4 linked regions of the Saccharomyces cerevisiae S288C genome follow. The gene in region 1 interacts genetically with each later gene. Each region holds a gene or a part of one and is shown in the gene's direction. Other genes may lie near its edges.

What was found.
Region 2: of OXA1 (region 1) and USB1, extra expression of one rescues a mutant of the other (dosage rescue), as found in Saccharomyces cerevisiae (one study listed by BioGRID).
Region 3: mutations in OXA1 (region 1) and MDM38 impair growth when combined (synthetic growth defect), as found in Saccharomyces cerevisiae (one study listed by BioGRID).
Region 4: mutations in OXA1 (region 1) and MBA1 impair growth when combined (synthetic growth defect), as found in Saccharomyces cerevisiae (4 studies listed by BioGRID).

What each region holds. Positions count from the first base shown.
Region 1 is NC_001137.3:471,595-479,821, forward strand, and holds OXA1 (membrane insertase OXA1), read left to right. Parts: upstream 1-3,425; coding exon 3,426-4,634; downstream 4,635-8,227. Other genes in the region: mRNA-binding ubiquitin-specific protease UBP3, read right to left, coding at 1-830; YER152C (2-aminoadipate transaminase), read right to left, coding at 1,063-2,394; PET122 (Pet122p), read right to left, coding at 2,447-3,211; GTPase-activating protein BEM2, read right to left, coding at 4,751-8,227. UniProt on the Saccharomyces cerevisiae protein: Mitochondrial inner membrane insertase that mediates the insertion of both mitochondrion-encoded precursors and nuclear-encoded proteins from the matrix into the inner membrane. Links mitoribosomes with the inner membrane.
Region 2 is NC_001144.5:402,226-409,918, reverse strand, and holds USB1 (phosphoric diester hydrolase), read left to right. Parts: upstream 1-1,763; coding exon 1,764-2,636; downstream 2,637-7,693. Other genes in the region: bifunctional choline kinase/ethanolamine kinase CKI1, read right to left, coding at 1-1,474; DNA-binding transcription factor ACE2, read left to right, coding at 3,097-5,409; low-affinity Zn(2+) transporter ZRT2, read left to right, coding at 5,857-7,125; snoRNA-binding rRNA-processing protein DIP2, read right to left, coding at 7,431-7,693.
Region 3 is NC_001147.6:268,104-276,597, reverse strand, and holds MDM38 (ribosome-binding protein MDM38), read left to right. Parts: upstream 1-2,873; coding exon 2,874-4,595; downstream 4,596-8,494. Other genes in the region: LAG2 (Lag2p), read right to left, coding at 1-1,641; MIM1 (Mim1p), read left to right, coding at 2,245-2,586; YAP7 (Yap7p), read left to right, coding at 5,228-5,965; YOL029C (uncharacterized protein), read left to right, coding at 6,178-6,783; GAS5 (1,3-beta-glucanosyltransferase), read right to left, coding at 6,957-8,411.
Region 4 is NC_001134.8:594,066-601,643, reverse strand, and holds MBA1 (Mba1p), read left to right. Parts: upstream 1-1,684; coding exon 1,685-2,521; downstream 2,522-7,578. Other genes in the region: PCH2 (Pch2p), read right to left, coding at 1-1,091; YBR184W (uncharacterized protein), read right to left, coding at 2,710-4,281; YPC1 (phytoceramidase), read right to left, coding at 4,579-5,529; YBR182C-A (uncharacterized protein), read left to right, coding at 6,089-6,283; SMP1 (Smp1p), read left to right, coding at 6,780-7,578. UniProt on the Saccharomyces cerevisiae protein: Mitochondrial inner membrane-associated mitoribosome receptor that spatially aligns the mitoribosome exit tunnel with the membrane insertion machinery and allows cotranslational protein membrane insertion.

The sequences.
Region 1 (8,227 bases):
TGAGCATCTTCTTCTTCCCCATGTGTTTCTGTCTTTACTTCCTCATTATGCTTTGGTATACTATGGCTTTTTGTGTGATGATGGGCAGAGCTCTTTTCTACAGATGAGTTCTCTAAGCTTTCAGAGTTTAGGTTCAAAGCCTTCATGTTTAATTCGTACCTTTGGACACTTGCCGCAGCAAATTCTGCTTCCGTAGTGTTTATGAACAGTGGCAATTGAATCAAGTTTGATGAATTTTCCTTGAGATTCTTTAATTTAGTGACATCAAACTTGTATAAATCATACTGTGAAGAAGAGTTGTAGGAAGAGTACGATGGTGAAGTAGCCGAAGAACCGTTGCCGTTGGAAGAGTTGGTCTGTTTTTTCATGCCCGCATTGCTGCCACTGTTTGGAGAGGCCATCATGGGGATATGATTGTTAGAGTAATTGTGATGGTAGGTGTGGGATTTGTTGTAGCTCATGCCGCTACCGCTAGAGTTGGCGCCTTGATTACCGCTGCTTCCATTGTTATTGGTAATGCCATTAGAGTGCCACTTCTTCTTGTTAATGTTGTTGTTATTGGTAGTGCTTCCGCCGTTAATATTGTTTTGCGGAGGCAAGTGATGTGGGCTGCCACTTTGATGGTAGATTGGCTGGTTTTGGTTGACCATATTAAACGAATAGGCAGGTATTTGTGTGGGGTATAGATATGGGGCCTGAGTGTAGCCGTACATCTGCAAAGGCGCTTGATAAATAGGAATCTGCATATTGGTTGGCGTAGGTGGTGGTGGAGAAGAGGTTTTCGGGTACATCGAGTACGACTCTTCTTTGTTAGCGTCTTGCATGTTCATTTTTTTTAATGATGATGGAAAGGAAAGCGGTACCTGGATGATGGTAGCAGACGAGTCTGACTTACTATTAAAATGACTTTCTTCTCTAGAAACACTTCTCTTCCCTTTCGCTTTTTCGCTGCTTGTTTGTTTTATCACATTATATTTTTTTCCTTCTTTTTCTTTTTCTTCCTTGCCTTTGCCCGTAGAAAAATTACCCTCTTATTACCGTTCACCTATATACGTATTCCTTCTACATAGTTATGTTATTGGTGATCGCATGAGATTTGCAAACAGCACCAAACAGCTCAATGCCCCTGTCGATATCATCAACTTCTAAGAAACTAATAGAAAGCCTAAAGCATGACTGACCCCAGTTTTTCTCATCGCCGATGACCTCGAAATTGGAGCCGTCGGCAAGGATGACATTAAATTTCTTGGCAAGAATAGTGGATATCTCCATGGCATTGTACGCTGGTGGGAGAGTGATCCAAGTAAAATAGCCGCCCTTCAATGGCATAATCTCGGTTCCTAGGGGCATGTATTTCTTAAGCGCCGAGGTCAAGACAGTGGCCCTCTCGGAGTATACGGATCTCAGATGTGCAATGCATCTCTGGGCGGCACCACTACGCAGCATCTCACCCACGATCATGGAGTTCAGTTGTGAGGGAGTTCCGCCAGAGACGTTTGCACCACCTTTAGATAGCTGTCTGGCGAGATTCGCGTTGATTGACTCATGGTATCCAAATCTGAGCCCAGGGGCGATCAGCTTGGAGAAAGTTGCGTTGGACACTGTATTCCCGAACGAGTCCTCACCGGAGGGCGCTGTACTTCTGTCTATGTGCACCATCCTTAGGGGCGGAGAGGGCAGCTCATCTGAGGGCGTCGTGTAATCTAGAATATCGTACACGTCATCAGTGATTATCAGCATGTCGTACTTCCGAGCGATGTCGATAAGTCTGCGTCTGGTCTCAAGCGAGTATGTGTTTCCCGATGGGTTTGCAAACGTCGGGATGCAGTACATAACGTACCTGTAGACCTTCTTGGTCAACTTTGGCCCCTGAATCATCTCTGTGGTACTATGGGGCTGCGGCTCCGCCTCGTGCTGCTCAAGGGCAGAAATCAACGACTCGAAATCAATCGAGTCGTGGCCCTGCTCGTTGATGGCGGTCATTTTCCCCTTGAATCCCGCATCTGTGAAGCAATTGTTGATCAAGAAATATGTTGGCGTGATGATGAACGCCTGCCTGGTATACCCGTTATGTGGCAAGGTTGTTTGCAGAAGGATGTTCAGCATGCCATACGAAGCGCCGCTATTCAGATTCAAATAGTCTGCCCGTGTCCTGCTCCGAGCCCCATTTTCGAACTTAAACAGCTGATCATTCAGAAACGTACAAATCTGCTCTCGCACCCACAGGGCACCTTCGTCCGAACCGTACGTCAGCGGATGCCTGTTATAGGGGTCGTTATCGTACTCCCTGGTCTCGGGCCCCAATATAGCCGCAGTCGCTTGAATTACTGCTTCTCGAGGCAGCAACCTCGAGCTCGGATGGCCCTTGAAGAAATTGATTTCCTTGTATTTCATTACCGCTTGCTAGCACGCGTTGTTCCTTGTTACAGCGATGCTCCACCCAGATTTATGTGTTGATTTCAAATCCTCTTCTCTTTATCACTAGTTCGGCATCCAGCAGCGGCAGCCCGCGATAACTTTGACGGAACTCCGCCAGCACACGTCGCGCCTGCGCTGGGCCGGGAACATGCCAAAGGACACCAGCCAGTAGTAGCGGTAGTGACCATTCGTTCTTTATCACTAGGGGCTGTCGTCCAAACAACGCCAGGGCAGCTGCTTGCTCATCTTGCTGCATCAATGCTATGCCCATAGCCTTGGTCATTTGCGGGAAGTCGCGCAGCCTTAATGGCGGCTGCCCTGGTAGCGTATCCATCTCCTGCAAGAATACCTTCCACTTTTCCCTGAGCGCCGTGGAGTGCATTGTGCCACGCGCAAACGCTTCGACTTTAATCCGTCTAAGCTCATACTCAATCAGTTCATCTTCTGGGCTGGTGCGACGATCGCGATTCATCGCCTGGTAGTGCTGGAGGAACTGCGCGGGTAAGAAGAGCCTGTCCTGGTACAATGCTACGCCAGCCATTTCACATAGCAGGCGGCCCTCTACTGGCAACCGGCGTGGCATCACATGCTGATACCACATGTATGCTATAGTGTCGGCATGGGCAAGCGCAGCGGCTCGCGCTAGCATCGTGTGCAGCAGCTCCACATCCACGCTGGTCTGCTGCTGCTGACGCAGCAGCGCCAGTGCATCGGACATTTTCCCGTTTAAACTGCTTAACAGTATTCGCGACCGCACATCGGTGGTCACCAGTCTTTTCGTGATAGTCAACATGACGTGTTCCGTTCTTATGTTCGAGCTAATGCCTCGTCTGCTCTTCCACGTTCAGATGTTCCCTTGATTGCTCAAAACACTCTCAGCAGGCCGAGATTTCGATTTTAGCCAGCAGTACGGAAGTAATCCGAGCCATGAAAAATTTAACCAGTGGCTCGCCCTCTATACGTATCTGTTCACGTACAAGCGGAGCCACAGAATAACCTCCCCGACGATGTTCAAACTCACCTCTCGACTCGTCACGTCAAGGTTTGCTGCCTCTTCCAGACTGGCCACCGCTCGAACCATAGTATTGCCCCGGCCCCATCCGTCATGGATCTCTTTTCAGGCCAAAAGATTTAATTCGACGGGCCCAAATGCCAACGATGTCTCGGAAATCCAAACCCAGTTGCCTTCCATCGATGAATTAACCTCTTCAGCTCCTTCTCTTTCCGCTTCTACTTCGGACCTTATCGCTAACACGACCCAAACAGTGGGCGAGTTGTCCTCCCATATAGGGTACTTAAATAGCATTGGCCTGGCCCAAACCTGGTACTGGCCCTCGGACATTATCCAACACGTCTTGGAGGCCGTTCATGTTTACTCTGGGTTGCCTTGGTGGGGAACTATCGCGGCCACCACCATCCTCATTCGATGCCTGATGTTTCCCCTCTATGTCAAGTCCTCTGATACTGTTGCTAGAAATTCCCATATCAAGCCCGAGCTGGACGCCTTGAATAATAAGCTAATGTCCACTACAGATTTGCAACAAGGTCAGCTAGTCGCCATGCAAAGGAAAAAACTGCTCTCCTCGCACGGCATTAAGAACAGATGGCTGGCCGCACCCATGCTACAAATTCCAATCGCCCTTGGGTTTTTCAACGCATTGAGACACATGGCTAACTACCCAGTAGATGGGTTCGCTAATCAAGGTGTCGCTTGGTTTACAGACTTGACTCAAGCAGACCCTTACTTAGGTTTGCAAGTAATCACTGCCGCTGTGTTCATCTCATTTACAAGGCTGGGGGGTGAGACTGGTGCTCAACAATTCAGTTCTCCCATGAAGCGTCTTTTCACTATTCTACCGATCATTTCTATACCGGCCACAATGAACTTATCGTCCGCTGTGGTCCTCTACTTTGCCTTTAATGGTGCCTTCTCCGTCCTACAGACAATGATTTTGAGAAACAAATGGGTTCGTTCGAAACTGAAGATAACAGAAGTAGCTAAACCAAGGACTCCTATCGCTGGCGCTTCCCCCACAGAGAACATGGGCATCTTCCAATCATTAAAACATAACATTCAAAAGGCAAGAGATCAGGCGGAAAGAAGGCAATTGATGCAAGATAATGAGAAGAAGTTACAAGAAAGCTTCAAGGAGAAGAGGCAGAATTCCAAAATCAAAATTGTTCACAAATCAAACTTCATTAATAACAAAAAATGAATAAAGGCTCTATATCTCTCTGTAAATATAAAAATATAAAACTCAAACCCTCGATAGGCGGGACCAAATTTTTTCTCTCTCAGCAGTGGATTGTATACATTTACCACGAAAATTGTTTATTGCTTGAAATAATCATTTGGATTCTTAATAAAATCTTGCAGGATTGTCTGAACTGCACCTAATCTGGACCCCATGCTGTTGGCTAAGTCTTCTTGGTTTATAAAACTCATGGAAAATACAATAGCCAAGTTTGATGCGTCCATTTTATTATTTACAACATGCTGATGTACTTTATTCAAATGAAATACAATTCTTTTCAAAGTTTGGTAATAGCATGTAGGTAACTTTTGGAGTAACTCATTCATCATTCTCTTGTATTCTTCATTTACCATTGCATGTGCTTTATACTTAATCGCCAAATCGGTAAAGTCGTTCACCATAGCATGAGAAAATAAAGAATCTGGTAACTCTCTTAAATACATCTTAAAACAGCCTGCGATCGCATTCACTTCAAACCATCTATCGTCCTCTAATGTAAAGGAATTATCTGTTGCACCTTCTTCGTCAAATGCGTTCTTTAGTGCATTTATACTGCCGATGGAACCAGGAATTCTGTACAATCCCACTTCATCTAGCCCACGCAGCTCAATCTCTTCCAGCAATTTCACAACAATTGTAGGTATCAAGGTATTCTCTCTTTCACAAACGTCTTCTAATGGTACCCCAAATATCTTATTATGAGTTTTACCTTTATATTTTTTCGAATGGAATGAAAATCTCTTGGAAGCCTTGATCATTTTTATCCATTCTGTGAGGTCACTAGAACTAGCCGTTTGAATCAGATATTCATGGCCATTTTGCATAACTATCTTGAACGCATAGTAGTAAGCCGGAATGTTTCTGTGATTGATTATTTCCATTATTGACTTGATTTCAAAGGTCTTCAAACTATAACTAGGTTTTAAGTCGTGTAGTTGCATGGAATCAACCTCTGGAAGTATACTTGGTAGAATGGATTTGTTACTTGAAACTTCTTGCGATAATATACTGTTGAGTGAATAATTAGAACTGGATGTGTTGAATCCACCGATTGAAAATGGTCTTCTGAAAAATCCACCTATTTTTTTACTAACACCATTATGGCTGGAATTTGACACTACTGATGATCTATTTGTGGAAAAGGAGGCCCTTGAATCTCTTCTATTCCTTGCTGAATTATTGCTTTCCATAACACTACCTAGAGAAGGCGTTTGACCGGTGTTCTTATTGATATTATAGCTATGATCGTTGTCACTATGAGTACCTGAGATAATAACAGACTTCCTATTCTTTTTCGGAACGGCCTGATGTAAAGCAGCAGAGTTCTTCAAGATCTTTTCTTGATCGAGTAAAACCTCTAATTTTCTGGCTTCCCTCTTTATTTTTTCAATTTCATTGACTAGTATTTCATTAAATACTCCCTGCTCTTGAAATCTCTCCGATATGGCTTCTGATTCTGATACTTTTTTAGTCTTCTTTCTGTATACTTTATTAACATCTTCAAAATTATTGAACAGAATGCGGCCAAATGTAGTTCTTTTCGAAGGATTTTCGTCACTCATTTCAATATCAAGTGGAAACTCCCTTTCGTTCGGAATTAAATCCAAGACATTAGATATTATGTTGTTAACAAATCTCCTTTTGTCAAAATTAATAAGTTTCGAATTAGTGATACTCATGTTAGGGACAAACTGAGATATTTCTAGTAACCTTGAAATGAACCAACCAGGGCAGGGGCATAAATTCTTGCAGTTTTTGCTGAATACATCATCAATCTCAATGAATCTCTTTATATGTATGTCATCTATCTTCTCTAAAACGTTACTAATCGATCTTAGATTTTGGGTTCCTTTAGTAGGGTCCGAAAGTTTTTCAGAAGCTTTGATCCACGAAAGTTCATAGTTTCTAGACTCTGGTGATATTATGGCATGCGCAATAGCAGTTTCAATAAAAGCTGGAATGTGTGGACAAATAGCATGAGGACTTTCATCCTCCTCTGAATCAAATAAATCCAAACTTCCGTTTTTCCAGCGGATGTAGTTCAAAATTTGTAATATAACTTTACAAGTAGTTAACCTTTCACTACTGCTTTTGTTGACGTTTGAAATTTCCATCACGAAAAACGTAGTTAGACTCGTGTGTAACTTTATTAACAATTTTATAGATTGTGGTAGTTTTTCAAAAAAAAGACTCTCCGTACCATTATCATCCTTAAGAATCAATGTAGAAATCCAAGTAAAAAGATTGGAAATTTCAAACTCGTGCAATTGCAAATATCCGGGGTTTATCAATTTGCTTGACTTAAAATGTAGCGGATAATTGAAAAAAGAGACCAGAGATTCCTTTGAAAGCAATTCCAACTCCTGGAAAAGAACTATCCAATCTTTCTTAGAAACTAAATTGAACTTCTTAGAAATAAAGTTATCTAACTGGTAGATCCATTCTAGTATATCTTCGTAATTGGTTGAGTGTAACTTTTGAAAAGATCTAATCATGTCATCGCTAAAGGAAGGATCATCAATGATGTTGTTAAGATCTGTAAAAGAGAATGTGTTAAAGGAATTCAAAATGTCAGTTATTCTCTTCTGAGTTCTATTGACACCAATAGGTCTGTATAGTTGCTTTTGGTATGCTGATTTAATACCATGAAATAGATCAGTTAACGTAGTCAACAAATTTTCTGTTTCAATCACAAAATTTTCTGGTAGGCTTTTTTGTAACTTTGAGTTTGCAATTCGCGTAGGCCATTCAGTGGATACTTCTTGTTCCATTATTTTTATAATATCCAATAGAGTAGAGTTGTTACATAAATCGTCAGTAAAGTCAGAGTAATGATTTTTCACTAAATGTAGTATAGCTTCCGCGGCGCCGATTTGGATTTTTGCCATATAAATAAGGTTTATGTTTTCATCGTCAGTTACTTTCATATCCCAAACAGGAAAATTTTGGTCGTATAATGAAGAGGACACTAAATTTGTATCCTCATTTATCTTCATTTTAGAATCATCACTGCGATCTAAAATCTTGGAAATTGACACGCTGCAACTCTTTGCACCAACATACCGTTTTGCCATATTTTCTAATACCGTAGTTGTAGTAGTAAAGCTTTTATAAGTGTTGAAGAATGTTTCTGTGAAAATATCATTGTCCATAGTTAGTTTAACGAATGCATAATCTAGTAGTCCTATGTTATCATCGGAAAGCCCTCTGGTAGAATGACCCCTTTGTCTTTGATGATAGTAATAATTCTCAAGGTCTTTAGTGTCTACCAATTTTGAAAAGATATTTGAAGTTAATACCAGTAAATCAAAAATCTTTTCTAGCGACGACGATTTCAATACGACACGAATAATCGATTCTTTTAGTGAATCTGATACTTGACCAATATTGTTGAAAAAGTCCATATTTTCTAATGTCTTACTTAGTCTTCCAGTGGTATCCAAGGAATCTCTCATCTTTTGGTTTGGAGTAGCTGGATTATTAATAAGCATGGAAGAGTGTTGTGAGAATCTCTTTGGTGTTTCTATGACCATACTAGCAGGACGGGATTTACC
Region 2 (7,693 bases), on another chromosome or scaffold:
TCTCTAATTTACCACTTTGTAGGATGGCCCAGAGCGACCAAAATAGTTGTACAGTGGGTCTCCATTGAATGATTGACTTATAGAGTCTTTGAACCTCTTCATCTATGGGTTCCTTAGCACCACCCCTTAGATGCGAAACATAAGAGTATAAGAAATTCAAAACCTGTTCTTTATCGGGATATCTATCAGCGTGGCACTGATGTGGGGCCTTAGCATTGTTGTAATCATACATCCACTCGGAAAGATGATTCGCTAAATCATATGCGGCGGGATTGGCACCTGCATATTCAAAATCAATGACGACCAATTTGGAATCTTGGCTTTGCTCCTGCTTTGGCGGGTTGATTATATCATCTACAATGACATTGGAGCTCGAAGGAAATAAGGAACTTGATTGGGAAGTCAATGATGTAGACGAAGGTGCAGTGTATAGGCTCGGTGTGTTCATCACAGGAGCAGTGAAAAGTAAATTGCCGTATTGGGCATCATTATGGCAGAATATAAGATTTTTGTTGACTTGCTCTATACCCTGTTCTTGAGAAATAAGCCACTTGTGATATCTATCGACAATATCCATAAACTTGGACCAATTCTCACATAATAAAGAGTTTTCAATGTTTTTAGGATCCCCCACCCATTGGTCGACTTTCTCAATCGTGCGCAACCACTGGTTAATCTTTTGCCAACAAGCCGACCCGTTCTTCCTTTCTGAACTCAAGAGAGGAACACCTACATGTAACTCCTTCATTCTCCTTGCAATCCTTTGAGAGTTCTTCCAGTTTCTAATGTCGTCTTTTGTTAAAGTCTTAGAATTCTCCAGAAACTGCTCAAATCTACCGTTTACAAAACAGCCGTAAAGGGAAGGACCTATATTTTTCAATGAAAGCCTAGCCAAAATCTGCAATTCATATTCCCTGTCAATGATATTATCAATATTCGGTCCGTATATTCTCAATAGCAACGATGGTAACTTAGGGTATTCAACTTTGAAAATTGCGTTTGTCATCGCACCAGAGATCTTGACTAAGTTCATATCTTGTGCTACCGGTTGGATTTTCTTGTTGTTATACCATTTGGATATCTTCAAACTCTGAATGAGATTTAATATGTCCTGCTTCAGATAATCCGAAGGTAAACTTGCATCCAATGTTTCCTTAACAAAGGGAATCTCAATATATTCCGACGAAGTCGAACCCAAACTATCTGTGACATCAGTTGCTGATGCTCTTCTTGGTCCCTTATTTGCGGTTTCAGAGACGTCCAGTTGCACACCCGCTACTCCCTCATTGACAGCTCTCAAATCGTCATCGTCAGTAATATTAGACACATCAGACTCGATACTGATGGTTCTAATCAGTCTTTGCGAGGAACGTTGGCGTGTTAACGAATGTCTTCTTTGAGAACTCGATCTGGACCTTGCTTGGTAACCGACCGAGTAACTTCTTACACTCCCTGGACGTGATTCTTGTACCATCTTTTGCTCTAATTTTACGTGCGTATCTATGTGTGTGTATTCTATAAGAGTACAAAAAAAAACTGTATATTGTTGTCCTAATTCTATAACTTTTCCATTTGGCTTATCCTTACTTACAGCCACAGAGCTTCTATTCTGTCTCTTCGAGATTTAACCGGCTGGGCCGACAAGAAAAACGGTAGAGCACCATGTGAATATTATACCATAAAGAACAAAGAACAAGAGAACGATCTGTTGGTGGTGTTCTAAAGTGAAGGAGGTTACCAATCGCTTAGAAGAAGACTGGCCTATGGAATTCATATCTGCAGACTATTCTAGCAGTGACGGTAGTGATACCGAGAGCGAAAGTAGTAACAAAAGTGAGGTCCAAATCGAATACACGGAGAAAACTTGCATACAGAAAGCCGATTCCACTGATTTACCTGCAATACCGGATTCAATTATATTGAAGTACCACATCCCTCCGAATTTACAAAAGTACGAGCACCAGGATATGAATATGAGTCGATTTTGGCGTTCGTTCACATATTTTGAGTGGCGTCCGACTCCAGCGATTCACCGACAACTTCAGAAAATCATATGTAAATATAAAGAAACATTTATGAAACAGGAATACACTAATCCGTATCAACTGGTGGATTTTGACCCGTTGTTCATCTCACACTTGGGAGCCCCCAAACCTTTACACGTTTCCTTAACTCGATCGTTGTTGTTTGAAACTGAAGAACAAAGACATGTTTTCATTCAAGAAATGCGTAATGGTTTACGAAATAATGAAATAACCCCTTTTAAACTTCAAATCTGCTCATATCCGAAGTTATATATATCAGAACGAGCCAACACCTTGTACCTCGGTCTCCCTGTCTCAGAATGTCCCAATAAGGCACAAATTTCTCCTTTCAAAACGATAATAGCTGAGGCACTTCAGAAATCAGGCATTTCAAACTATCAGGATTTAATTGTAAGTAGGCAAAATTTACATGTTTCAATTGCCATCGCTAGCAACCCTTCAAAAGCCACATTAAAACGTTATCAACAATTAAACGAGACGATGGGGGCGCTTTTACTACTCAATAATGACTTTGCATACAAACTAGAGTTCTTAGTTAACTCTATCTATTGTGATGAAAACCGTCACTCCATTAGAATCCCTTTTAACTAATAGTGTTATAGGAATAGCCGCCCAAAAATACCGGGGCACTGAGAGCGGCTCGTCAGATAGGTGAAGGTTGTCATAATATACGATATATATCTCAAAACGGCAAAATGTAAACATTGGCACTTTGGGAAAATTTCAGGACACTTTTGGTTTACAGGTAAAGGATAAGGATGCTTGTAGCTAGTAAATCAACTCCAGAAAGCATTTAGCCATTAACGGGCAAATATTAAGGAGGGAGTACTGTTTGTTTACTCGCAATATTTCTGTCCCTTTTCTTTCATTAAGGGTTTTATAGTACACATAAACTTATAACAACCTCTCTCGGCATTGTACCTAGCAAACAAAAGCTACGTTGCAGGGAGACTCAAGCAACAGTTAAAGTGCTAGAAGAAAAAAATACAAGGCATAAATTCAAGAAATAACTAAAGAAATCTATAGGACCAAAAACGGTGTTAATACAATCATGGATAACGTTGTAGATCCGTGGTATATAAATCCCTCAGGCTTCGCGAAAGACACTCAAGATGAGGAGTATGTTCAACATCATGATAATGTCAATCCTACCATACCCCCACCCGACAATTATATTTTGAATAATGAAAACGATGATGGCCTCGATAACTTGTTAGGTATGGACTACTATAACATCGATGACCTGTTGACTCAAGAGTTAAGAGATCTGGATATTCCTTTAGTGCCTTCTCCTAAGACGGGCGATGGTTCTTCTGATAAAAAGAATATTGATAGAACTTGGAACCTTGGTGATGAAAACAACAAAGTCTCCCACTATAGCAAAAAATCAATGTCCTCACACAAGAGAGGTCTAAGTGGCACAGCGATATTTGGATTTCTCGGCCATAATAAGACATTGAGTATTTCCAGTTTACAGCAATCCATTCTAAATATGTCTAAAGATCCGCAACCCATGGAACTCATAAATGAATTGGGTAATCATAATACGGTAAAAAATAACAATGATGACTTTGACCATATAAGGGAAAATGATGGTGAAAATAGCTATTTGAGCCAAGTTTTGTTGAAACAGCAGGAGGAGTTAAGAATTGCTCTTGAAAAACAAAAGGAAGTGAACGAAAAATTGGAGAAGCAGTTGAGAGACAATCAAATACAGCAAGAAAAGTTGCGTAAAGTATTAGAAGAGCAAGAAGAGGTGGCGCAGAAGTTGGTTTCTGGGGCTACAAATTCTAATTCCAAACCTGGATCTCCAGTAATACTAAAGACACCTGCCATGCAAAACGGTAGAATGAAAGATAATGCTATAATCGTCACAACGAACTCTGCAAATGGCGGATATCAATTTCCTCCTCCGACGTTAATATCGCCTCGGATGTCAAATACTTCAATAAATGGTTCACCATCCAGGAAATACCATAGGCAACGATATCCAAATAAAAGCCCAGAAAGTAATGGATTGAACCTTTTTTCCTCTAACAGTGGTTATTTGAGAGATTCTGAACTGCTTTCATTTTCTCCACAAAATTATAATTTAAACTTGGACGGCTTGACTTATAATGACCATAATAACACCAGTGATAAAAACAATAATGATAAAAAAAATAGTACTGGTGATAACATATTCCGTCTGTTCGAAAAGACTTCCCCGGGTGGGCTAAGTATCTCTCCAAGGATAAATGGAAATAGTTTGAGATCGCCCTTCCTCGTCGGCACAGATAAAAGCAGGGATGATCGATATGCTGCTGGCACGTTCACGCCTAGAACACAGTTGTCACCTATCCACAAGAAAAGGGAATCCGTAGTTTCCACGGTCTCGACAATATCACAACTGCAGGATGACACTGAACCCATCCACATGCGAAATACCCAGAACCCAACATTAAGAAATGCAAACGCTTTAGCGTCATCAAGTGTACTACCTCCTATTCCTGGTTCCAGCAATAACACTCCAATTAAGAATTCTTTGCCACAAAAACATGTATTTCAACATACTCCCGTCAAAGCTCCACCAAAGAACGGAAGTAACCTAGCTCCGCTTCTAAATGCACCGGATTTAACAGATCATCAGTTAGAAATTAAGACACCCATACGAAATAACAGTCACTGTGAAGTGGAAAGCTATCCGCAAGTACCACCTGTCACACATGATATTCACAAAAGCCCCACTTTGCATAGTACGTCTCCTTTACCAGATGAAATAATACCTAGGACTACGCCAATGAAAATAACCAAGAAACCAACTACTCTGCCTCCGGGTACCATTGACCAGTACGTCAAGGAACTACCCGACAAACTATTCGAGTGCTTATACCCTAACTGTAACAAAGTATTCAAGCGTAGATACAACATAAGGTCGCATATTCAGACACATTTGCAAGATAGACCGTATTCATGCGACTTTCCCGGTTGCACCAAGGCGTTTGTTCGCAATCATGATTTAATAAGACACAAAATCTCCCATAATGCCAAGAAATACATCTGCCCATGCGGAAAGAGATTTAATAGGGAGGATGCTCTAATGGTGCATAGAAGTCGGATGATTTGCACCGGCGGTAAGAAATTAGAACATTCGATCAACAAGAAACTTACATCTCCCAAAAAAAGCCTGCTTGACAGCCCGCATGACACAAGTCCCGTAAAAGAAACTATCGCCCGGGATAAAGATGGGAGCGTCCTAATGAAAATGGAGGAACAGCTGCGAGATGATATGCGCAAACATGGATTACTGGATCCACCCCCATCCACAGCAGCGCACGAGCAAAACTCGAACCGCACCCTTTCAAACGAAACTGATGCTCTCTGACGAACATTTATCTATGCATGATATTAACATAATAAATAATAGTAACAATAATATAATACATTTATTTCTTTACGATTTACGTACACTGTAGTCTTAAGGGCCAAAAAAGGCAATAGTCATCGTTTATAGGGACATAACCCTAAAGGTTATATGCGACTCCTTCTCGAAAATGAAAATTTTTCACAACCTTTAGGGTACATTGCCCTTTAACTACTACAAACCAGCTTCACACATCCTTTGGTAAAACACAGTGTGACGATTTTAAATGACGCAACCTTTTGGGAGACACGATCTAAAACCCACTATATATGATGATACTGTTTATTGAATCATACACCCTGTTGGTTAGACCGGAAGAAAGCTAAAGTTGATCTCCGAAAATACAACGGTGCATCAACCAAAGAAAACATTGCAGGCGTTTCCAAGTGACACTGCATATTCGAAAGTATGGTTGATCTTATAGCGAGGGATGACTCCGTAGATACTTGCCAAGCTTCTAACGGCTACAATGGGCACGCAGGTCTTAGAATTCTGGCAGTATTCATTATACTGATATCGTCAGGATTGGGAGTTTATTTCCCAATTTTGTCATCACGGTATTCGTTTATAAGGCTACCAAATTGGTGCTTTTTCATAGCGAAGTTCTTCGGTTCTGGTGTCATTGTTGCCACAGCGTTCGTTCATCTTCTACAGCCCGCAGCCGAAGCTCTGGGAGATGAATGTCTTGGTGGCACATTTGCCGAATATCCATGGGCTTTTGGGATCTGTTTAATGTCGCTTTTCTTACTTTTCTTCACTGAAATCATCACGCATTATTTTGTAGCGAAAACGCTGGGACACGATCATGGGGACCATGGGGAAGTTACCAGTATTGATGTTGATGCTCCCAGTTCGGGATTTGTCATCAGAAATATGGACTCGGATCCTGTATCTTTCAATAACGAAGCTGCCTACTCCATCCATAATGACAAAACTCCGTACACTACTAGAAATGAAGAGATTGTCGCTACTCCTATAAAGGAAAAAGAACCCGGCTCAAATGTTACTAATTATGATCTGGAACCGGGAAAAACAGAGTCACTAGCTAATGAACTAGTTCCAACCAGTTCCCATGCGACAAATCTCGCTTCTGTACCTGGAAAAGATCATTATTCTCACGAAAATGACCATCAAGATGTCTCCCAGTTGGCCACACGTATCGAGGAGGAAGATAAAGAGCAGTATCTCAATCAGATACTAGCTGTTTTTATTCTAGAATTTGGCATCATCTTTCACTCTGTATTTGTGGGTCTTTCGCTATCTGTCGCGGGTGAAGAATTCGAAACCTTATTTATCGTTTTAACTTTCCACCAAATGTTCGAAGGTTTGGGTCTAGGCACAAGAGTTGCCGAAACGAATTGGCCAGAAAGTAAGAAGTACATGCCTTGGTTAATGGGATTAGCCTTCACTTTAACGTCACCCATAGCAGTCGCGGTAGGTATTGGTGTCAGACACTCTTGGATACCTGGCTCTAGAAGAGCATTAATTGCTAATGGTGTTTTTGACTCGATATCATCAGGAATTCTTATTTATACTGGACTAGTCGAATTAATGGCTCATGAATTCTTATACTCTAATCAATTCAAAGGACCTGATGGCCTCAAAAAAATGCTTAGTGCATATCTCATCATGTGTTGTGGAGCTGCTTTAATGGCTCTTCTAGGGAAATGGGCATAGTATCTCACGTATATTTTGTTAGATTAGATAGTTATTCATTATCAAAAAAAAAAAAATGCATGACCTATAATTTTACAACTGCTCTGCAGAGACGAGAGACATCTCGCAAAAAACAGCATATGTCAGCGACCAATAAGTATAAAAAACACATATTCCGTTATTTGGATATGCCCATTATTACCGAAGGGCAATCGGAATGACAATTTTTATGATTGGAATTGTATAATATACAGATAATTTAATCTATCCTTTTGAAGTGTGAAAAGGGCAGAGTAATGCCGGTATTATGTAGGATAATAGTTTTATTATATAACGGTCCCGAAAACTCTCTTCCTTGCACTATTACTCTCTTTCTCCTGTTGGTCATATTCGTCAACGAATTCGTAGTTATGCCTTAGATTCCATTGTTGCTTGACGAATTTCAACCCTTGAACATTAAAGCCTAGATCATCCTCGGTAGATTTTAATGCACTTCTTAATTCAGTCTTTACTCTATTTATTTGCAATTTCAATTCTTCATTTTTCTGAGAAACCAATTCTTTATGATTAAATTTGATAATGAAAAATA
Region 3 (8,494 bases), on another chromosome or scaffold:
TGTATCAATAAAAGATTTATTTGTTTTTAGATGGGGTAATATCAACTTAATCAATTGAAATTGCTCGCCACGAGTGATGTTATTTGAATGATTTTTAACCAGCAGATGATCAATAACCTCTATTGATAGCTGTAGAACAGACAATTCGGAACCGGATTGCAACGACAAAGTATGCGCTAACGTACAAAAAATAACGTTTTTTCTAATTGGTTTATTGCCTTTCACTTCATTTAGAATTTCGTTCAAATCTGCGATTTCCCCATTGTGAGTGGGTAATTCTGTTGTCTCTTTTGAAAGAATTTTATCAATTAAGGATGTGTTTATAGCGATCTTAGTCTGCAACTCAACCAACAGTTCAGAGAAGCGCTCCTCCTGAGGATAATGTAACTCAGAAAAGATTAAAAGGATTTTGTTCGTTTCTGTAATGTCTTTGGTGGCTTCATCATTTTTTTCAACGTTTATATCATCTGCGTCTTCGTCATCCGTATCACCGTCATACATGTTTTCGTCATAACCTTCTGATACGAGTTCATCGAGGTACGCTTGTTGTTCAGGATCGTTGTCTGAGCCAAATCCGTCGTCACTGTCGATCAGATTGTCGCTACCATGGTCGTTTTCATTTTGCGTCCTTGTCAGCGAGTCGTTTAATATGCTGAGCATACCAAACAAACCCTCTCTTAGCTGGCTAATAGTCGAATCTGACAATAGAGGCCTATTATCCTTTAGCCTACGAATAGAAAAATATGGATGGAAGTTATGAACTATTTCGAGAACATCTTCGACGTTACATTCTTCTCCCATTTGCGGGGGGAATAGAACCGGTAATAGCCGGTTAGTAAATAATTTATCGACTATGGGGCCAAATTTGTACCATATTCGAGAAACTGCTGCTAAAGTATTGTACTTCATTTTGGGGCATAAATTTTCCAGGTCCACCGGATGAGTTAATTGCGTAGAAGTCAAAAGTAATTTTTCTGTGATCCTATCAATGCTTTCATTTGTATTCGTAGCAGAATAGTCCTGCGCAATTGTAAAAACGTCATTCAAAATATCAAAGGGCAGTGTGACCATTACTGAAGGACTTGCCGCGTCTGAAAAGAAGCTAAATTTTAGCAATAGATTAAGGGATTCTATGTAAATTAGCATATTGCTTTCAGAAAGTGAATGTGAAAGCTGCGCAGCATCCACATCACACATATGCCTTTTCATTTCAACAATAAATTTGGAGATAAACTCTAATGAACTGTTTACTGGTTGGTGGTAATCTAAATGAGGGGAGTTTTCAATTTTTTGTAACACATTTCTTAGTGTCTCAATCAGAACAAAAGAACGATTTGCATGTATCATGCTTTGGTTTAATAAAGGGTCGCATATCAAGCTTATTACCCATCCCAACTGAGCAGCTGCAGGGTCGCTGATCATAGAAAGAACTAAATCGGGGAGCACTTGAAACGATACTAGGTTGAGAATTTCCATGTCTTGTTCTTCGACCAATACCGGGAGCAGCAATTCGTTAACAAGAGGAGCCAGCTCATCCTCTATGTCGTTAATTTTAAAGTTTTGCCTTAAAAGCATATATTTAAGGTCATTGTCCTTAGTGGAACGATATTGCTCAATCAGTTTACTAATGTGCAAGCTCATTACTAGTTGCGGTAGAACGTGATGTTGATATAGCTGAGTGCAATGTAAACGATTTTGCTACCACTTGTGTAATGTAGAACAAGCTAACCTTAGCTATGTGTAAAAATTTTGTAGAGATGATTCAATAAATGTCACGAAAGGATTGTAGAAGGATAAGAAGCAAGAATTCACAAAAAAGAAATGCGTCACAGACAGGATTCGAACCTGCGCAGGTAAAACCCAATGCCTAATTGCTTTTCTGAGGAAATAGCAGGGCATCGCCTTAACCACTCGGCCACTGGGACACGATTACTTACAATGCACAGCAAGAGCACCCCAACAGTACTTTAAAAACTCTCCTCCAAATATGTCTGCAACGTGTACTATTTATTATAACGAAGATAAATAGTAATACCAATGGCCCATAAAAGCGTATTATTCCACTACCATCGGCCTCCCCTACCACTGAACAAGAGGAATGCGTTACGAGATGTAATCACTTATAACGAAGTGGTATATTCCGCGCCATAAGAAACAGCCATACACTTTACTTGAACAATAGAACATCACTGTAATATTAGAAACATCACCCCCCTTCTTACGAAACTGCCACAAGACAGAAATATGACAGAGGTTGTGGGATTCTGGGAGAGCGTGTCAGATGACGAATCAGAAGACAAAGACTGTATGGAGGTGCAGAACACAGTGAGTGCCGACGAGAGCCCACTTGTGCAGAGCCTTGTATCCTTTGTAGGCTCGTGCTCCATCAACCTACTTTTGCCCTTCCTCAACGGCATGATGCTCGGCTTCGGCGAGCTATTTGCTCACGAGCTCTGCTGGAGATTCAATTGGTTTAACCATAGAAACAAGGGGTATAAGGTGTACCCAGAGTCGCGCAAAATAGCAGCATTGAAAGAGATTTCAAGCCCTGGCACCCGTGGGAGGGTTGCGTCCAAGTTCCTTTAAACGATCACCAAAGCATTAGCAACCTACATAAATAAATACACACACACATACGGTAGATTATACGTAACCACATAACTGGCAATAGTTTCACAAGCCATAAAGCTAGCCACGGTATTACCCTCAAACGACCCCGTCTTGGGCGATAATCCCGCGGTGAAAAATTATTCGTTGAATCATCTCCAAATAAATGGATCAGTCATTGCCACGGTGATGAATATGAACAGCGCAGTGCATTTCAGGCAGCGCATAATATACGCTATCTCTATCACTACAGATAATATACTAAGATGTTGAATTTCGCATCAAGAGCGTCATGTGTGACAAGACGTCAAGCAAGCTTGTATTTTGTTAAAAATCAAGGCCCTAGATTAATAGCTTCCACTATTCCCTCGTGTCATTGGCCTTTGAGAGCGCAAGGAGTACAGCCCAACTATCCTTTATCTTTGAGATTTTATTCTACTGATAAGTCGAAAAGTGTTACGAAGCCCGTAGCTCCAACATCCACCGATGCTCCTGCCAAGCCCAAGGAGACGCTTATGGTCAAAGTGAAGCACGCCTTGAAACATTATGCTAATGGGACGAAACTTTTGGGTTACGAAATCAAAGTTTCTACTAAGCTTTTGATTAAATTTGCTCAGGGTTACGAGTTGTCTAGAAGAGAGAGGAACCAATTGAGGAGGACAATGGGCGATGTGTTTAGGTTGATCCCTTTTTCAGCGTTCCTTATTATTCCATTCGCCGAACTATTTTTGCCTTTCGCTTTGAAACTCTTCCCCAACTTACTACCCTCCACTTACGAATCCGGCAAGGATAAGCAAGCCAAGAGAAATAAGCTCATCGAGATCAGAAAAAAGACATCCGAATTCTTGCATGAGACTTTGGAAGAATCCAATTTGATCACTTACAACACCATTGAAAATGCAGAGAAGAAGCAAAAATTTTTGAATTTTTTCCGGAAGCTTTATTCTGCCAAGGAAGGTAAGATTATGACTTTCCAACACGATGAAATAAGCGCCATTGCGCAAATGTTCAAAAACGATAGCGTTTTGGATAACTTGTCAAGACCACAATTGGCAGCAATGTCGAAGTTTATGTCACTAAGGCCATTTGGTAACGATAACATGCTTCGTTACCAAATTCGTTCCAAACTAAAGGATATAATGAACGACGATAAAACTATTGACTACGAAGGCGTTGAAAGTTTATCGCAAGAAGAGCTGTATCAAGCTTGTGTGTCTCGTGGTATGAAAGCGTACGGTGTATCCAAGGAGGACTTGGTCGATAATCTAAAAGTTTGGCTAGAATTGAGACTGAGACAAAAAATCCCATCCGTCTTGATGGTTTTGAGTTCCACGTTCACGTTTGGAGGACTTCCAAAGGAGAACTATTCAAAGGCATTCTCGCCACTAGCTGAAAAAAAAGAAACAAAAAGCAAATATGACGACCTTTTGGATCTGTACTACGACGGTATATTACAAGTGCTAAGTTCCATTCCAGATCCCGTTTACAACGTCGCAAAACTAGATGTATCTGAATCGAAATCATCCGCTGCTGAAACTGAAGCTGAAAAGCAAGTTGCTGAAAAGAAGATAAAGACGGAAGAAAAACCCGAGGAAACTGCTATACCGAAGGAAGAAGCCACCGCAAAAGAGTCTGTTATAGCTACCACCGCTTCTGCGGTTACTCCTAAACTAGTCGTAGTTAATGAAAAGGCAGAAACAGCGAAGACAGAGGAAATATCTCAGGAAAAAGAGAACGCAGAGCCTACCGACTCTGCGGAAGCCACGGAAGCTGAAGAAAAGAAGACATCCGACGATAACGAGTTCAAATTGAACGTTTTGAAGGAGCAAGAAGAACTAATAAAGAAGGAGGAAGAGGAAGCTAAGCAAAGAGCTTCGAGAGAGCATGTGCCAGATGATATCAACCTAGATGAAGAGGAAGAAGCAAAATCTGTACCTCCCATTCCGGCCGATCAAGCTGCGAAGACTTTTGTCATTAAGAAAGATTGATATTAGATCAAAGCCTAAGAAAAAAACTAAAAAAAACTAAAAAAAAAAAGTCAATCGGTTCTCTTTTCTCTGACAACAATGGCAAAAGATCAAAGAGAAGCGTACGTCACGGCAAAACCAGCGACCCTTCAAAACTAAATTATTATGCATGTATATAATAGACACCCTATCTAAACTACCGCCTTATTTTTTTTTTTATACAGGAGCAAAGTGTCTTTTTTGTGATGGCCACGAGGGTCCTTTCACTCATGACTCCTTAATCAGCATCTTATGAGCTGGATTTTCATATATCGGCGATTTTTTTCATCGGTAATGCACGCAGTAAAGCTGCTCGCTCGAGAAAAATTAGTAATATATGGAAGAAGAAGCATAAGCATAAAAGAGAAAATCCGCTGCCCCACCGTAGAAAGCAAACAAGGCTATTGGTTATTCCTCTTTTCACCTGTACTTCAATCTGTAGCACATCATCATAAGAGGCTTGAAAGTTGCTCAAGAACAGTTTCAACGGTTTTTTCTTTTGAAATTTGAAAATTGCTCTTCGTTTGTTGAGCCGTTATCAAGGAAGTAAATCATCAATTAAAGAATATAGAAAGGCACAAAATTTTGTCATTTACGCACACTTTCAATGGATCATGAGACAACGAAGGTCTGTAGTAGCAGTTAGCGTAAAGCCCAAAGGCTTCAAATTGGGGCATAAACAGGGTTCCATGTCTACGACGTCTCCACCTCCATCCTCACCAGATGGAAATGTGAGTACATCAGGACCGTCAGCTATTAAGTTATCCAAGAATTGGGAGTTACCACAGCGCCTAAAACCGGGCCGCAAACCGAAATCCAAGCGCGGGGATGCATCAGCTAATAATGATGGATCGTCCAAGATAAAGAAGGTTCAAACTTCCAACCAGAAAGACCAAATGACCACAAAAGATCATGAGAACGAAGGCGCAAAAGGTCATGAGGGGAAATCTGATGATGAAGGCAACGGAAGTGGTGATGAAAACGGTGTCGATAGCGTGGAAAAGCGAAGGAGGCAAAATAGAGATGCGCAAAGAGCATATAGGGAACGCAGAACAACAAGAATCCAGGTTCTGGAAGAGAAGGTTGAGATGCTACACAATTTGGTCGATGATTGGCAAAGGAAATATAAACTGCTGGAATCTGAGTTTTCCGATACAAAGGAAAACTTGCAAAAATCAATAGCATTAAACAACGAATTGCAAAAAGCCTTGCCTTTGATTGTTAATACTCCATTTCAACAGCAGCCAGAAAACCCGCCAGACAATCCTATTTCGATATTAGAAATGGTAGAAAACTTTAAACCAATCGGCGCTGTCAGTTTAAAAAAAGGAAAGCTGAAGGCCCATTGTTAACATCTCATGTGCCCGCGGTATTAACAGACCAGTCTTTGTCTGAGATTGATATAGCCAACGATTATCAATATCTGAGCGGCAGACAGTTTAGTTCAACGAATTCATCGCTTGATGGCCATATTAATTCACCTCTGTCTTCATGCAGCAGCAGTATCAATGCATGTGCAGGCAGTGGCAACAAAAAAATAAAATGTTGTAGGAATAAAGATGCCATGAAACCAGTAACATGTTGCAACCAAAAGAATAACATAATGCCATCCTTAGTCCCCGTTTGCTGTTCAGAAAAGAAAATAGAATCCGATGCTAAGAAATCAATATCGAAATGCTGTGGAGACAAAGAAATCTACGATAGCGAGAATAGACCGATCACTAAAGAGGATGGGTCATGGATACCTGGAAGCTGCAAGCAATGTAGATCAGACCCCCATAGTAGGAATTTTTGTCAATCACTTTCGAATAAATGTAGTTCAAGCTCTTTCTCTTCCAACAGTGCGTTGTCACCGGATCTAAATGAACAACAAACTGACGTAAATTACAATTCAATCAAGCTACCCGAAATATGTTCCTGCAAGAATGCACAAATGAATGCGGCTTCCGATGCAAAGAGGTATCTGCCGATCAGTTACACATATCAAAAAATCCGTCAACATATGCAAAAAAATAAAAGTATCCAAGAACAACTAAATCCTGAGGATTCAACTTCGATCTCATCAGCGTTAGAGAACATTGCATCTGGATTGCACGTTCGTGGACAGAAAGTAGAATTGCAAAGCATCAAGGATGCATTACATAAGATGGACAAAAACGTCTTGGAATGATGTATTTAGAAAGAAAAGAAAAGTGGAAGCATAAATAGTGCATATAGATATAGGTATATATATGAATTTTTTAATAATAATATTAATGATGTTTTTTTATCTTAAGAACATTAAAAGTAAGCGGCGCTAACGGAATAATTAGAAACAATGTGGTAAAGAACGGGGGTGAAAACTCATAAAACCAAGTTATAAAGTTCTGCCAAAGCACGGAATATCAAAGGAATCTCAATAATTCCGGCAGCACCCTTTGATTTCGAGGACGATTGGCTGGACGAAGTAGCAGATGCGGCAGATTTTAGCAAGCTCGTTTCGCTAGCAGAAGGGGAGGAGGAAGATGCCTTTGAAGTCGAGGATGATGATTCAGAAGATGAAGAAGCGGAAGATGAAGATGAAGAGGAAGAAGAGGATGAAGAGGAGGTGTCGTCGTCTTCTTCGTCGTCATCGTCCTTAGCATCACAACTTTGTTGGGTGGCGATTCCGGTTCCCATAGGAGAACCTGCTCCAGATGTGAAGTAAGCAGAAGCAGCACTTGGCATAGCAGGCAAAGTGTTATTAGCTTCCCAGACACCCTTTTCATAATCAGGACATGTAGAATAGTTGTTGGAAGTACTGTAACCACCATTGCCTTCTGGGTTGGATACTTTGCTGTATTCATTTTTCAAGTTTTCAAAATCTGTCAATTTAGTGACCTTGTCACCATCAATTTGAACGAGCCCGTAATTGTTAGTTTCATTGGAATATTCGTAGACTAGCCCACCGGAGAATACAGAAGACATTTGAGTGGAATAGATAGCTTCAATTTCTGTGAATGGACGAGAGCTCTTGACTTGGTTACAACCAAATTCACTTAAGAAGACAGGAACGGAGTAATCTTGATATAGCTTCATCTTGGTGGAATAACCCGATACCACAAATGAAGATTCACCACACCAAGAATAGTCATTAACACCAAACATGTCGATTCTAGCGTCAGCTTCATCACCACAGTTAAAGTATTCAGCAGCCAATTGTCTGTTAGCGACGATATCAGCAGCCGAGTAACCTACCGGAATTTGTCTGTATTTTCTAGCCTTGATGTATTTCTTCATGTCCCTGACCACTGCCTTGACATAAGTAGCAGTGTTGGTAGTATTAACACTATTGATGACCTCGTTACCAGCGAAAAAACCTAGAACATTGTCGTAATCAGCAAAGGTATCAATGGTGGCAAAGACATTTTGTAAGTAGTCAGCGTTATAGGAGCAGGCTGGATCGTAACGAGAAATAGCACTCGTGGGGGTATTGACATCCAGGATCAAGTATATACCGTTCTCCTGCAATAGTTTCATACAATGGGAATGATCTTGCGAGTTATCCACAGTATAAACTCTGACAGTATTTATCCCTAGATCTTTCAGAACGGGGACGTCTCTGTCACAGACAGATGCGTCTGCTAAGGGATCAGTCAAGTTAGAAGAACCACCAGGCTGGTAATCAACACCACGGATATAAAACCTTTCACCTGATTCCGAATTAAAAAATGCATTGCCTTTAATTTCAATGGATGGTGTGGAACTGTTACTGCTGCTAGCAGCCTGAGCCAAACCAGCACTTAAAACGAAGGCACTTGTAAGAGAACGTAGTAACATAGCTATTTAGAGCTGTGTGTGTAGCGAGTGATATATAATATGTTTGTTACAGCCCACTGTTTACTTTTATATACGAAATGCAA
Region 4 (7,578 bases), on another chromosome or scaffold:
CATTTAGAAAAGATGCGTGCACAAGACAATTCTATTATTATCCCCTTATAATTAGTATCAATGGTATCGGAACCGTCTGAAAATTCCCGCCTCACAGATAATTTTTGGCAAAGTGCTTTGCATAACGTTGTTTTACCTGTTCCCGGAGGACCATGGACAAGGAGTAATTTATTATTTGTGATTAGCGTTGTAATGTCTTCTTGATTGGAGTCTCCAGTTTGTTTGAATCTTGCTATCTTGAGAGATATAGTTGCGTAGCTATATAACCTTTCTTTAATATTGTTACCAAAATACAACGATTCCCATTGGCCCTCGAAAGTTGTGCCTGGAAGATATGATATATTTACTAAGTTTAGTGTTTGCTTACTTAGTGGAATGTCAAAATTTCCCACCGAATTGATACAATTGTTTAAAGTTTCTCCCTCAAAACCATCATCCTCGTCTAGTTCTAAGTCAATCTTGTCGAACTCTGTGGACAGTATGCTGCCATTTTTCAGCTCATCTTGCTCTTCCAGACAGCAAAAGGGATATATAATGAACTCGTCAACAGATCCCATGTGATAAGTGTCCGACTCGTTGGTCTCCTCTGAATCTAAAATAGAATCTATGTGCTGACCCAAATTTATTTTCTCATGAAAGTTCAATTTAATAGAGACGTGTGATGTGGACTGTTGCTCTATAGAAATTTTTTTAACGAATAAGGATAGAAACAAATTATCTTGTCCTTCATTTACTGTGTTAACTTTGCCATTTATGCTTGAAAACTGGTGTAATAAAACTTTTGCTAGGCTTCTAATCAAATGTTGTTGCGCCTCCGTTGGTGGATCCTTAATTTCAATACTTCCTTGCCCCTCTCTCATTAATTCTTGGCCAGTTATAATCGAAGTCTTTAAACGGTCTTTTGGGAAACTTTCCAACTTCCTCTTGACCACTGCTTTTAACAGATTCAAAAATTCTCCCAGCTTTTTGTTGCTGTTTTGTTTCGAGTCAGAACCAGAATGTAGAGAAGAAATTTGCTCATCCTCTCTAAACATACATTTGATAACCCTCAGAGATGATCCTCGCACTTGTAGGTCAACTATGTAGCTCATATCCTTATTTTATGTCTTCAGTTTGAGATCAGAATATTTTTATGAAAATGTTGTCACTCTCTTTTAACCGCCTCGCATTTCGTAGATTTGCCGCCCACCTTATTGTCAACGGCAAATCTAAGGATATATATACATATATATATATTTTTGAGAAAGATTATATTTTCGCCAACGATGAAAAAGAGAAAAGTACAGTACTATGTATTATGTGTTTTTCAACTCAAGAGAGGGGCAAACATATAACTGGTGCTATATATGATTAAGGCTGCGCTCAAATATACTTCTTACTTAATTGACTGAACAATACGTTGATAAGATGAAGGAAGAGTCTCAGATATTGGTTTCACAAAAAATTCAGAGAATGGAGTCATTTCGGTTACGGGCAATCTTTCGGTGATTGGTACGGAGTATCGCGATCTTTACACGTTCCACTAGTCAATCCAATCCAATTTATTCATTTGTCCGTAAATATTCTGCCGGCCTTCTCCCCATATTACAAAATAAAAAAATAAAACCTGAGTAATGGAATAGTTGGAAAAGCAAGGCAAATTTCCATCAGAAAGCAAGCCTATCCATTCAGCTAAGCTTATGAGATGAGTGTATTAAGATCTACATGCCTTTTCTTCCCTCCAAGATCCTTGTTGATATCATTTAACAAGCGGCGATTATTTTCAACTTCGAGGTTAATTTTGAATAAAGAAAGTGAAACTACAAAGAAGAAAGATAAAAGTAAGCAGCAAGATTTTAATCCTCGGCACCTGGGTGTTGCTGCCGAAATATTTATCCCCTCGGCTTACAAGAACCTTCCAAATGTATTTGCTCATCCTCTCATTGTTGCAAATGCATTGATCAGAAGACTTTACACGTTTGGTTTGAACTCTGTTCAAGTCGCATTGTTTCGTTTTCAATCAGGCATTAAACCTTCTTTTTTACTCTGGAAAAACAAAGCCATAGAGACGTATATCAATGTAAACACGTCATTTGCTCATAAAAATTTGTCGGACATCAAAGGGTTAGTTTCATTATGGGTTCAGGAAGCTCTCGAGGCTAGGTCCCGTCAACTTCCAGGTAATGCAACACTGGACTGGCAGTTGATAAAGTTTAATGCAGTTCCTAAACTAGTCTCAGTGCAACCAATCATGATTCCCGGAATGCCGTTAGAGCATTTACAGTTGGTTTACAAATTTGATACGAAGCAAAGACTAATTAAAGTCAATCAGCAAACTAAGAAGACTGAGACGTTAGACCGTGACGTTGTAGACTATATTGCCTTTTTGTGTGATGCTACAACTAATGATATGATTTTAATGGGATCTTTGTTTGAAAGTAAACCAAATGATAAATTACCGAAAAGCTACGAGGACGATGCTAAAGTTGCCATACACAGAATGAAAGTTAACGGTGATATATATCGTTTACCTCCAAGCTAAGGCAATATGTATATAAATGCGAAAAGTTTTGGAACATCTGTAAATAGCCATTGCTTCATTTGAGTTTCTTATTCCACATACCACTTACATATTCAGTAAAAACTATTCATTTGTTTTTCATTCTGAAGTATATATATTAAATTTATTAAATAGTTTTTCATGAAAAAAGTTATTGAAGCATCTCCCTTTCAATAGTGCATTAACTCTCCCATTCTAACCCATCTTTCCGTTGAATCGTCATAGAACAATGTTTCTGACAGATTGGTTTTCCTATAACGATCTTTGCAGCACAATCTGTGAAATAATTTCCATAAGCCGGTAAGAATAGTCCTGTTATAGCTGATACTACCTTGTACATAATTCATATCACTGAGCTTTGCTTCATCTTTTAGAGGCTGAGACTTCTCAAAACCTTCTGCGCTATCCAAACGATAGGTGCTGATTTCTTTTAATGCCAATGAATTATTAGAACACTTCCTACATTTAAGAACAACCTCTTCCTCGGACCTTCTCTTTCTATTTTCTGTATCAAAAGAACTGTCTTTTTCAATTGCTGCTGTGTTGTGAGGAATAGATCGATAAAGTACTTTTTTTTGCCCTGTTCGAATAACAAAAAGAAATAATGTCAATTCATTTGCACTGTAACAGTAATCAGCGCTAAAACCCTTAGGATGATATCGATGATTTGAAAGTATAATTGTGAAGCCACTATATATATCACGCAGTAGCGTAAACTGTGCTGCTTCGGACTTCAAAAGTTGAATAGCGTATCGTGTGCATTCCCAAATATTATCGACAACGTTTGGATAGAGAATAAAGGATGTGTATACGGTTATTTCATGATGGGGTAGAAAACTGAGTGTAGAAGAAATATTTGCAATACAATTCGATTTAACTTGAAGTTGATAATTAAAATTGCTGAAGAAAACTCCGCTATTACAATTTTCAGAGGTGACTATTAAGTCATTTCTCTTCATTTGTAAAAGTGAGAATAATCGTAATATTTGCTTACAGTAAGGAAGACGTATCGCATTAGGTATCTTATCTTCTGAATTGTAATCATATCCGGAAACTTTTTTGGTTCCTCTTACTGCTGCAAATAGAGACGAATCTGAAATATCTCCCTCTTGTACGTCTTTTTTGGGTAAATCAATATTTCCCTGAATTTCTTGGACTTTAGAACATGAAAGATTTTTCCGTTTGCGATTTTTATTGCGTCTGCTAGCAATCTTCTCTATAAGTGCACATATGTCTTCATTGGGGATTTGGGACCAATTCTGATTTTCTATATCGGTATTTTGATTCTCATTTGTTGGGAAATACTTCGTCTTTTGTAATGGGGCAGATTGCCTTCTAGTTTTATTTTTTTTATCTGCTATGTCTTCTAAAATTTTACAAATTCTGCTCGTACTGAGTTGAGACCAATCGTGCCCTTTCTCAACATGGACGTTTTCCTTCTTGAGACATGGGATAGTTTTCATTGATAGTTCCATTTTGTTTTCACTTGCGCTCGTTTTGGCATGTTGAATGGCATCCGCCAGCATTCTTGCTTTTGGGTAATAAGGACAAATATCCATTATATCCAAATCTTCCTTTTCCTCATAGCCTGTAAAATTATTAGGTTCGGATACTGTGTGCTCTATGTTGTTATTAAATGTTATTATTGGTCTTTTGTGGTTTCTTAATATTGTTCCACTATCGTATTGAAAGTTTGATTTTTCAGAAGCCAAAATAGCATTCAATACATTATTTTGGTACATGTCCCGAATTAGCTAACAAATTTCTTAGTATTTGTGTTACAACAATTAGAGATTTTGTTTTGTTTATTTACTTTCATCAATTCACGTTATTTTGCCGCCGACGGCTTTGAGACCGCACAAAGTTTTTTTTCACCAGAGCAATAAGCTGGGTCATTTAAACTATTCGCAAATCAAGGATTCAAAAGATCTTTTCTTAGATATATTTTCTTCGTGATTCGTCATTAAATAGAACATGAAATAAAAAAAATAAAAAATAAATATGCCTATACATTATGAATATATATTATGCTATAATTATTACTTCTCCTTTTTAACTTCAATTGATTGATCTTCTACGTATGGGCCAAATAGTTCAAGTGAATATCTTGTTGAGGGTTTGCGCCCTTTCCATATCAGTTCAGGGAAGACTTTCCATCTCCAGATGAACTGGTAATTGCAGCTGACGTTGAGCGTAATGACCCTTAAATGTTCCAAAGAAACAATGTAGAAATAAATCCCCATACCAGTTAATATATGCCACCATCCGTGTGGTTCAAGCAGTACACCAAGTGGTAAAGCCAAAATACTTCTTCTAACGTGCACCCAGAACGAACAATAGTGTATATCAAGTAGCCACGAAATGTAGCCAGATAAGAACAAAATTGCGCCGAGCGCCATTGAAGCCTTGAGATTTCTTTTGGCAAGTGGATCATGGACGTATCTGTACGTCAAACTTCCTGCAGTAGCAGCCACAACTACAATCTGTACGCCAAACAAAATTTGATGGATATCGACATTTTTGTAAATAACGTAGAGTATGCTTGCTGTTGTAACGGCCAGGCCGATAATTACGCCGATGAATATCTGTTCAAATAGAGGAACCTTCTTGTGATTATCTCCGTTAAGTAATGCCTCTTTGGCCTCGCATACTAAACTCCATGTCGGAATGCACATGGCGTATATCATTGGAAGTTCATCCAATAGTTGGAATCTATACTTCAGTGTCATATGAAATAGCCATGATCCTACTCCGACCAAACCGTACCCGAAGCCAATAAGTAAAAACCTTTTTTCTAATTTATTCTTGTAAGCAGAGTAAGTTGTGTAAATCGCTGACAGTATGAATACGCTGTTAGTTAAAGTGTTTGACCACTCGGCAATATAGGGAGAAACGACATAGTTCTCCTCACACCAGTCAATAGTGGAAGTTGTTTCTCCCCAAACGCCGGGGACAGAACTCTCTGGATAGTTCCAACGAAATATTCCCATCAATCTTCTATTTTCTTAAATAAAGATTTCTGCTTTTATTTACAAATTAATCTCTGTAAGTATCGGACCTTATAAAAACCCCTTACACAATAACTATATAGATGTATATAGGATATATAGATATATATATGCAAATATCTTTTTCCTATAAGCGATAAAAATAAAATGCTACCCGAATTCTATTTAGACATATATAACCGGAGACAGATATTTTTTATGTCATGGGGTAGAGTAGTGCGTTTGAAAGTATCAAACAAAAAGTTTCAGGGGCCGGATCTAATCGGCATAAATATTTTCCGATGTCTCGCGTTAAAAAACTTGCGTGATAATCCGTCCGCACTAGTGGGATCGAAAGAAGGGGCGTGGTCAGAAGGGTAACGTTATGTGAAACCCTTGCCTTTGAATCTTTCCTGCTATGCTACGTCGGCCGACACTTCCATTTGAAAAAAATATAAACGATGGTGTTGCCAAGTATTTTTTTTCGCCTTCGTTTAACGTCAGCATTACTAAAAAGGTTAATGGTTGGCGATACTAACTAAAAAGAATTTGTAGAAATGCCATGAAGATTTTCACGCTGTATACCATGATTCAGCAATACTTTTTTGATAATGGCGGTGTTTATAGTATAAAGAATTTTTATTCTGCAGTTCCGAAGGAGAAAATGAACATAATTCTTGTTTCACTTGATTGTGAGCTCCAAAAGCTTGCTCTTAAGCTGTCAAAGAAAACTAGTGGCACTCACACTACGCACTAGCTTTTACACCACATCGTTATTGTTTTCCATTAACGCTTACGTAAATTTCATCTATCATTCTACCTGTACCGTTCCCGATGATAGTGGCTTACAAAACGGCTTGAGGTACAGTTGGTTCGAACTTTTTGCATTATTGTTGCCTTCTTTTTTTAGTAACAAGCGGCGTCTTTGTTTCTTCTGCAAAAATAATCTCGCTCGAGTAATTGGAGGCTTGGCAAAACTTAAATCTCCACGCATACCCGGCTTCCTATGTTCGTGAAGGACTCAAAAACATGAACTATCCTTATCCATCTTTCTTTTGCCAAATTATTTTAGCCAATCTATATAACACTACATCATTCCTTTGAGTCTTTCTTTATCATTCATTCGAAGGGAGAAATATACGAGCCAAATTCAAAGACAGACTATTTTTTCGAGCAGGCCTATCTCATCAGAAAAAAATTTAATAAAGCTCTAGATAAGCAAACACAATTATTTTCAAAAAAATTTCTGCTAAATGGGTAGAAGAAAAATTGAAATTGAACCTATCAAAGATGATAGAAATCGTACAGTTACTTTCATAAAGCGAAAAGCAGGACTATTTAAAAAGGCTCATGAATTGTCAGTACTTTGCCAAGTAGACATTGCTGTCATTATTTTAGGATCCAATAATACATTCTACGAATACTCTTCTGTTGATATGAGTAACCTGCTTAATGTTCATCAAAACAACACTGATCTTCCTCATAATATCATAGAACCATCTGATTATGGTGACTATGTGAAAAAACCACGTGTTGTTCTGAATGAAAGGAAGCGCAGGCGAAGAAGAGCAACCGTGTTGCAACCAGCTTCCCATTCTGGGAGTTGTACAGTTTCGAGTCAAGATTCCTCCAGTGTACAAAACAATGGGAATTTAAGCGCTCCGTTGGCGTCAAATGACGCCGGGAACGCTGGTGTAAGTACACCATTGGTGCATTGCCACGGAGCAATATCACGTAGCGGATCCAATCATTCTGACTGTGCAAGAAATAGTGCAGATTATCAAATGTTGCAAGGCGGTTTAAATTCTGGTGGGAGTTTTCATGCTAATGATTATAAAGAAAGCGTAGACCAACAGCATGTTGCAAACGAGGCTATTCATAGGAATTTTATGAACAAGAGGATTAGGCCGGATACTCATTTACTACTTTCTGAATCTAACCACTCTAATTATCATAATTTTTACCCGTCGCCTTACGAGAATTTGCCAAAGCCTTCATTGCCTGCAAGTTTAGTGGGCAATATTCCATCCTTTCAATCGCAATTTGTACAGG